2 linked regions of the Nothobranchius furzeri genome follow. The protein of the gene in region 1 purifies or fractionates together with the protein of each later gene. This does not show direct contact. Links are inferred from orthologs where the notes say so. Each region holds a gene or a part of one and is shown on either strand. Other genes may lie near its edges.

Region 1 (4,523 bases):
AATACTTAAATCATTGCAAGCAAGTAGTATTTTTGTGTTGAAGTAAGACCGTACCAACGGACGCCCATTAGGGTCAAAAAGCCTTGGGGAGGGCAAACTTTAGCTAAATAATGAGCACATCAGACTCCCTTTTATCAGTGAAGAGATAATTGTGAACAACAACATTTAACAATGACAAAAGCTTGTAACCATTTGTTACAAATCAGTAAATGCATTTTGTCCTCATGGGCTCCCGTAGAATGAAACATGGTGTCTAATATGGCGTCGCCCAGAGAGTTGCCCCCAAATTCCACTACCTCCGCTCTGGCACGAACTCCGCAGCAAAAACGGTCCCGCTGTAATCAATCAGAGCTGTTCCACTACTGTGGCCGTGCGGCGCAGTGCGCCACCCGCCGTTCCGCCATCCGGCAAAAATAGGGTCGATTCTAATTTTGCCGGATGCCAGGGCACCTCCGCAGTCAATGGACAGAAATCACAACCGCCCAACAGGAAAGGGAGCAAGCACAACTTCTGTTATTCCATAATAAATAAATCTGTTATTCCATAATAAATAAACAAAAGGTGTTTTTTTGTTTCATATGCACAGGTTTAACAACTTTTAACAACTATCAATGGCGGTTGAACTTTAAATGCACAAAAGTAAGCCATAAATACAGTTTCCACTATCAAAGTAGTCACCCTTTGTTGATCCAAACACTGCTGGTATCTCAACACAAATGATGGGCAGATTAAACAGTTCATTTCGATGCTTCTCCCACACAACGGGTGTTTGGATCTAACTTCCGCGTTTATTGCTTGGACTGTATCGCAAGATCTCGCATGCCTGTTTGCGCACCTCGGGTCTCTGTACCGGAGCGGAGCCGTTGTAGAGCGGGTATAGTATAATTTGAGTTCGGAAGCGAGCGGCAGCGGAGAGTGGAGCAGAGATAGTGGAATTTGGGGGTAAGGCCCACTCCCAGGTATTTTAGACCTGATTTTTAAGGTTATATGTTACAAAGCCACCAATATTTTTCAACAAGATTTTGATGGATATTTCCAGAAATCAATGGTTACAACTACACGTTGTCTCTTTAAGGGACAATAAATAAATAAAAATAAAACAAGAAATCTGTAAGGAGGCAAATACATTTCACAGCTTTATAAGAGAACAGTAGGAAATAGAAACACAAAATAGCATAACAGCCGCCGATTTAACTTAAAATGATGAGATGTAATTACCAAACAGGTAGATTTAAATTGTAGAATTCTAAAAACATCAGAATTCACACCCCATCACAAACATCTGCAGCCTAAATGCTCATATATCCCGTTTGTATGGATTCGGAGGCCAATGAGAACGTATCTAGGTCTTATTTAGTTTATTTTTATTAATTCGTTTATTCAGAAATCTGAAAAGAGATAAAAATCTAAATGGAAGTGGTGCGTTTACTGACTCTTGCTCAAAACAGAATATTCGAGCAATCAAATCTACTCACAGTGACTGTTGTGGTTGTTTCATCATCTGACCACTAGAGGGGAGCAGAGAGGTAAAACAGAATAAAGAAAAATCAAAAGATAAAGATTTGTAAAGATGCATAATAATAAATATCACTGTAGGAAACAAAAACACGAGATTAAACAGAAACCTGGAAAGGAGCTCACAATCCGGGAAAGGAGGACATGGATTAACAAAAAGAACAAATGGATTTCACAAGAGCTGCAAAGTTCCACTGCAGGGATCAGAACATCTGTTCACAAGGCTCTGTTAACGAAGATGAAGTTACTGAAAAGATAGCCTACGACTTCAAATAAACAAATCCACCATTAAAAGACCAAAACCTCTCAGAAAATAGTCTGTCAGACAAAAGGGTCTTTAAGTCTGACAGACGTTTCCTGAGACCTTTTAGTCTGTTTCTACTTAGTCAGACGTCTGATGGGTTTTTGGATGGAACCTGATGTTTTTTCTCTATTGTCTGATGTCTGACACCTGAGGATGTCTTAAATCCACACCGTGGTCCAGGCTGGAGACTGAACCAGCTTATCAAAAACTATTATCCATCAGATCTGCTTGTGAAAGAAAAAAGGAAGGCAACTAAAACCAATTTCCCATCCAAAGAGTTTAAGATTACAAAGAGTGAATTTTCAATCTACATATCCAGATGTATGTTTATGCATTTCAAAAGCTAAAAATAAGTTAACTCTGAGTGGTAAACACACCTGAACGTCTTCCTCTGCGTCTGAGTTGTAGCTGTTAGTGTGTGTCGGCTGTGTGCTGTGATCACTGAGGAGAAAAGAGAAAAATCACGATTATAAACTAACAACAGGCTTCAAGCACGAACTAAAAACCACCACAAGTCGTAAAACCGTCTTAAGAATCGTCATCACATTTCTGATTAGCTCAATCCCTGAAAAATAACAAGGGTTAACATGTTGATCCTAAAAAAAGCATATCTTAAACTCACAGAAACACACTGTTTATCCGTGTGGATTCATACCTTCCTGAGACTACCAGCGTCCCATCGTCCAGTAAATAGTCTATCACATTTTGAGGCAATGGAAGAATCTGACTGTAAAATAAAACGTTTAGACAACACAAATTCATTTTAGATGAAACACGACCGAAAGAAAATAAACGAAATGAAAGAAAAAGCCAAGGCCATCCAGCAAGAAGAAACCAATATCTTGTTTTTAATTCCTCCTAGAACTGGCAAATTTTACCTTTTTATTGTGTGTTTTTTGAATATCGGATACCAAACAGAAAACTGACAGTTAGCTACTTGCTCCTTCTTCATGCTGCAATAACCTGAGCCGGAAATGTGTCCATCAGTAAATATCACCCGGATCATCGGATCTTTTTTCAATTGTCATAAAAGTCTCCAACTTTAATCCCAACACTATTTTACATGCACTCTATTATATTCATTTTCAACTTTATTTGGTAAGTTAATTGAGGAAAACAACTACGTATTTTAAAAGAGCGAAGCATAATTTGTTGTTTTTTGGGGGAAGCATTTGGGAGTTGTACACAAAGTGGTAAAATGACGTAACCATCAATTTCTTACATAGATCGTTTATTACTAAGACGGTTTTCTCTTTTTATTCACTATATCCTTTATTATTTTACGGACGGCTTTAATTAGAAAAGTGGTGTAAATACAAATGGATCAGACTAACATTCGATATAATTATGGTTCATTAAAATATTAAAGTAATCAATAAAACAAAAGCGATTTACTATTAAAACTATCTAAATTTTCAGTGTAAAGTGCTAGGTTGGCAGTAAATTGTGTTTTAAAGAAAATTGTTTTTCTTTTAAAACATACTATACGCTTCCTTATTAAACGAACAAATAAAATAATATTTTTTTATTAAATTTCGTGATATTTTATTACGTGTGGTATACAGTATTACTACAGTGACGTTTGAGACTCTCTGAAGTCTTCTCAGAGTGAGGCGTCTTGTTATTGTCTGCTCTTTGCTGCTAACACTCGGCAGGGATTTCACGTGAGTAAACTTTAGTTTCTCTCAATCAAATTTTGAGTTAAGTTAAAGTTCAAAATACTAAAACTCCGACTTGTGTGGCAGAAACTCGTAGCTGTTGTTAAATAAAAAAGAACAAAAGTCGAGCCTAAAGCAGACATTTAATGGAAGGGGAATTGATAGTTTTTCTAGTTGTTGTAGCTAACTGAGCCGCTCGTGATGATGACTGAAGCGTAATCATATTTAATTACGTCGTAGTTTGTTTACATTCTCAGCTTATTTCACAGAGGTGGTGGTTTATTATTACTTTCTTTCAGTTTTAGTTCATCCGACAGAGAAAATGAGCAACTCCGATGAGCCCAAAGTGACACCACACATAGTCAAAGAAGAGGTTTGTGCTCTTATTTTTTCTCTTATTTGTTACACCTTAGCTGCATTTTGTCATAAGGTCAGTTTAATGATTCCAGACCAGTTTTTGTCTCATTTAGGACCACGTCTTTGTTTATTTTTGCCTTCCAGCTCTTGGCAGCAGGACAATGGGTGAAGCTGGAAAAGACCACATATGTTGATTCTGCTGGAAACACCAGGTACAGTTCAGTCCTTCATTTATGTCTCTTTACAGGAAAAACCTGATCGTTCTATTAAGTGTAAATATTTTCTTTTTTGTTCACTAGAACCTGGGAGACTGTGAAGAGGACAACCAGACAGACCAACACAGAAGCAGATGGTTAGTCTTCCTGTTTGATATTCATTGTGTTTATATTGTTAAGTTTGTAATTGTATCTTTTCTTTGCAGGTGTAGGAATCATCGCTCTGCTGAAACGAACGCTTCATAAAGACTGCGTGGTGATGGTGAAGCAGTTCCGTCCTCCCCTTGGAAGCTGCACTCTGGAGTTTCCTGCAGGTCCTCGAGTGATTTTACCCTAGCCTAGAGGAACCTTCAGGAACATGTCCTCACGATAACATTTCTGTCTGCGTTTTTGTATTCAGGGCTGATCGACGAAGGGGAAACGGCAGAGGTGGCTGCACTGAGGGAGCTGAAGGAGGAAACCGGCTACAAAGGG
Region 2 (4,267 bases), on another chromosome or scaffold:
GTTAGACTTAGATCCTCTTTCACTTCCTGCCTGTAAAGGCTGCAACCACTAAACAACCAAACCCTCCCGCAGTTCGATTCAGAGAGTCCTTTTATTTAAATCAGAGGGGGCGACCGATCCCAGCTTTGGAGAGAGGGAGCCCACTTTTCATGGCCTTTAGTTGGCTTTGGCGCGGAGCTGCGCCCGCTTGCCCGTCACAGCCTGGAAGCCAGTCTTGATGCTGGCAACAGAGCAGCGGGAGTGGCACGTCTCACACTGCAGGAAATATAGACGAGTGTCCTTCTGCAGGATGGTCTCTGGAGAGCGGCAGGTGTGACAGGTTACGTATTCCTCTGCAGGAGCGAGAAGACTGGTATCAGTAGCAATACAACAACCAAGGTCCAAATCTAAAGCGTATGTCATTCAGTTATCGATTTGGGGGCATCATTCTAATGATATATGAGTGTGTGTGTACACAAGTGTAAAATTACAGTCAACTTAATAATAAACGAGAAAAAAGCCAAACTTACTGATATATCTTCTCAACACATTTTCTATCTGTTTCTGCTGAAATCTGCCCTTGATCACAAGCTGGTTGTTTCCATCTATCGAGCCGCTGATAACAGATAAGACCAAATAAAAACTCTTTTTGTTTTCAATGACAAAAACCATTTCTCAAACTTGTGAACACACACAACAAAAAACAAACCTTGTTCCCAGCTCAGCAAGTAGAAAAGCAAGGAGATGTTTAGGCTGACGATGCAACCTGCATCAGTGAAAGTACAACACTTAGAAAAGCCCCAGTAGAGTTCATTCAGAAGGGTTGGTTGCCAGGGAGACTCACAGTTTGCAGATGTCTGTGAAGTTGACAAAGGAGGTTTTCTTGGTTCCAACTCGGACCACCTGAGGTGGTTTCATCACAAACTTCCTCTTCTCTCCAGCCACCATGTCCGGGTTCTTCTCTCTCATGATGTTGAAAACTCTGTTTAGAAGCTGAAACAGAAACAGACATGAGATCTACCAGCCAAGCTTTACATTAACATTTACAGAACAACAACAAGAAAAGGTTGTTTTAAGAAGACAGAGCCGTATAAATAAGTGTAAGGGGCAGATATTAACAAATATCTACCTCATCATACGTGTAGTCTCTTTCTGAGCCGGCCCATGCAGGACCAGTGGAGGGGCTGAATGAAATCCCATCATTGTTTTTGCTCTCCTCATCCTCCAGTGCTACAAATAGAAAATAAACCCATTTTACACTAATATCCTATTGGTCCTTATGTTAAAGTAATTTCTGTAGTTTCAGTTTTTACCGTCATCTTTCTCCAAAAGCTCGCCCTCATCAAAATCTACTTTCTTTGTCTTCTTCTTTTTGGTGGGAAGCATCAAATCCAGACTGTCCTCCTCCGGGGCCTCCGTCTGCTCCCCTTCAATTTTAAGCTCCTGGTTTGGATCAGAAAATTATGAAATTTAATAATAATAATAACAATAATAAAGTATTGACAATGTGAGAAATATAAACTCCAGGGTCAGTAGGTGTAGAGAAGTAAAAAAGTGTGGCACTGACTGACCTTTAACCCCTCCTCTACATCATTATCAAAGACTTTCTTAGGTTTCTTCTTTTTTTTCTTCTGGTTGAAGAAGTTCAGGTCATTCAAATCATCTGACAGTTCTAAAGAAGACAAAGAAACCACAAAAAGCTTCAGACTGATGTAATTGTGTTGTAGGAGGAGTAACAAAGGGAAACGCCTGTCATCATTCTTACCTTTTTTCCTGCCTTCATCCTCATCTATATCCAGCTCCTTGTCGTCTCCAACCTCTGGCTCAGCCTCCTTCGCCTCCACCTCTTTAGCCTCCTCTCCTGCGACCCCTTCTCCTCCTTCCTCATCCAGCATGAAGGGCTTCTTTTTCTTTTTCTTCTTCTTGGTCATGTTGGGATCGAAAATCATCTAAAAGGGAAATGAAAAATGGGTTCAATGATACATGTGCAAATTTTATTTCACTTTAAATAAATATACTCTAAAATGTCAACCAGGAGTTAAATATTTTATTTATCTTCCTTAATCCATTCTGTAAAGAAACAAATAATGGGTCTAAAAACACGGTTGACCAAAACCAACACACAGACTAAAGCGAGAAAATGGCATGTCATAACATGACAAATTAACACAGCTAATGTAAAACGCAGTGTATTATTTGTGATAATTAGTTGAGAATAAACAAATCAGAGATGTCTACATGGATGGTTTACATCACGTCTTTCTTTATTAACTGTAATAAAGTGTCTACCAGAACATTTTTGCTGAGCTAATTCTCGCTAGCTCGTAGTTGCTAACATAAATCAACGGTTAGCCTCAGTTTCAAGAAGCTACTTAGCTAACTTAAGCCTTTGCTTGATTCTTAGATCTGTGACCATGAAGTTACTATGATGAATATAAATGTGAACTAGTGTGACAACCACAGCACGGACAATGTTTTCCTGTCAATATGACAACTCAGGCCGCTGTTCGCCCTGCTGCGGCCATGTGAGAGCTGCTGCTGCGGACAAGGAAAGAACTAGCTGTGCCGAGGCCCAAAGTCATCCTCAACACCGAGCTGGTCGGAAAATTCCCTTGAACAACAAAACAAACAGGGAAAAAACAACAGATCATGTAGGATAATCTACCTCGTCTCCGGACATGTTTGCCAGCCAAAAATCACAGAAGTCAGACCACTTCGAATCACTCGATTAGCTCCACACCTCTGCGCCGAAATATTTCTTGCATCAGCGTTGGTCCTCACTGCGCAGGCGTGAAGTCGCGTTACGCACTTACTTTGCGACACACGGCATGACACCTGAGTAGTGTTCAAGATCGACACTGTACGGCAAATAATTGTTACAAAACAGTGAATTAAAAAAAGTAAAAGCTTGTTATTAACTCTACGTTGTCTCCTATTTCATCACAGCTGAAGGCAGATGCGACAGTGGAGTTTTATGGGTATACGTTTTCTTCTCACGTTACTCTTAACAGGTGAACTACTTAATATATTTCATCCATCTATCGGTTTTCGTCTGCTTACGATAAATGACCTGCGTCTTTCAGAGTCAGAGGCCTCCATAGTGCTTTACACTACAGTGTATCATTCGTCCACACACACTCACACTTATCCCTTTGCAGTGTTAATTGTTATAATTTCATAAAGTATCTATTTTAAGTGACCAACTCTGAAATTGACATTTTGTCATATTTTTAACAGAAATTCTGGCATCCAAAGCTGCTAGAATAAAAGTTAATATTTGAGTTATTTTAGAGTATATACCCCAATAAAATGAGCCTATTTATAAATGCAATCCTAACTCGTCTTTAATTGTGTAAATTAGAGAAAAGGTCCAGTTACTACAGTCATGACACTTTATGAAACCTTTACTGGTTAAAAAAGGTTTTTTGTGTAAGTAGACACACATGAAAAATTTAAAACATTCAAAAACAGTAAAAATAATTGAAAACCTTTTAATGATTCTGCAAACAATATTCTCATTTGGATAAATAAAACATAGAAATGCAAACATGCTTGTCCATCTGTCCTTTTGCATTTCTTTTACTATGTAAAAACATACGTTGTGATTTCAAAAACCTAAATGATTTAAATGCAAAATGCAAATATTCTGGGTTGACTTTAATTCTATATTTTTTTATAAACCATCTTTCTACTGTTGCAATTAATATGGTGTGACAATAGTTTAATATATTTATCTTTTCTCTTTTAATGATATCGAATAAAAATAAAAAATAACCTCATGAGGACAAAAACAGACGGAGCAGGATCAAAGTATTAGGCCAGATGTCTCTCTTCGTAGCCGTGCAGTGTGATCTGTATTGTGACTTCGCCATGGTTGCATGCTTCACACTTTCAACTGAACCTCCCGGCAACAGCGGAATTACAGAATGACGTACAAAAGGGTGACACATTTGAGATATTTACACCAAATAGCAAGAACCACTGGTGAGAAAGCTTTCAAAGGGAGGGAGACGTCACAAAAAATGGCGACAGGAGGTAAAACAGGTAGAAACAAAACTGAGAGGTTCAAATTCTAGCAAACACACAGCTCCACAACTTCCTCACCCACTGTGTGTGTCAATCCCAAAAGCTACTTAAACAAAGCAAAGATTATTATTATTCTCAAAAAGAAAAAAGAAAAGAAATGAAACACTTTTTAGCAAATCAAATATCATAAACAAATGGGTTGGAAACAAATCTTTGAGGCTTTAGCTTCTAAGAAATTTCTCCTGTTCAGAAATTTAACAGA

Evidence for each region.
Region 2: the proteins of cdc123 (region 1) and eif2s2 purify together in Homo sapiens (affinity purification with mass spectrometry; 4 studies listed by BioGRID and IntAct, counting the BioPlex papers as one, with this or other methods). This does not show direct contact. The link is inferred for Nothobranchius furzeri from reciprocal best matches to the Homo sapiens genes CDC123 and EIF2S2.

Annotation. Positions count from the first base shown.
Region 1 is NC_091741.1:60,830,841-60,835,363, reverse strand, and holds the start of cdc123 (translation initiation factor eIF2 assembly protein), read right to left. Parts: upstream 2,831-4,523; 5' UTR 2,826-2,830; coding exon 2,698-2,825; intron 2,547-2,697; coding exon 2,475-2,546; intron 2,261-2,474; coding exon 2,197-2,260; intron 1,509-2,196; coding exon 1,476-1,508; intron 1-1,475. Other genes in the region: nudt5 (ADP-sugar pyrophosphatase), read left to right, coding at 3,800-3,850, 3,979-4,046, 4,134-4,186, 4,256-4,363, 4,450-4,523. UniProt on the Homo sapiens protein: ATP-dependent protein-folding chaperone for the eIF2 complex. Binds to the gamma subunit of the eIF2 complex which allows the subunit to assemble with the alpha and beta subunits.
Region 2 is NC_091755.1:32,895,278-32,899,544, reverse strand, and holds the start of eif2s2 (eukaryotic translation initiation factor 2 subunit 2), read right to left. Parts: upstream 2,803-4,267; 5' UTR 2,660-2,802; coding exon 2,645-2,659; intron 1,929-2,644; coding exon 1,745-1,928; intron 1,652-1,744; coding exon 1,551-1,651; intron 1,423-1,550; coding exon 1,293-1,422; intron 1,210-1,292; coding exon 1,109-1,209; intron 973-1,108; coding exon 824-972; intron 746-823; coding exon 689-745; intron 596-688; coding exon 510-595; intron 333-509; coding exon 157-332; 3' UTR 1-156.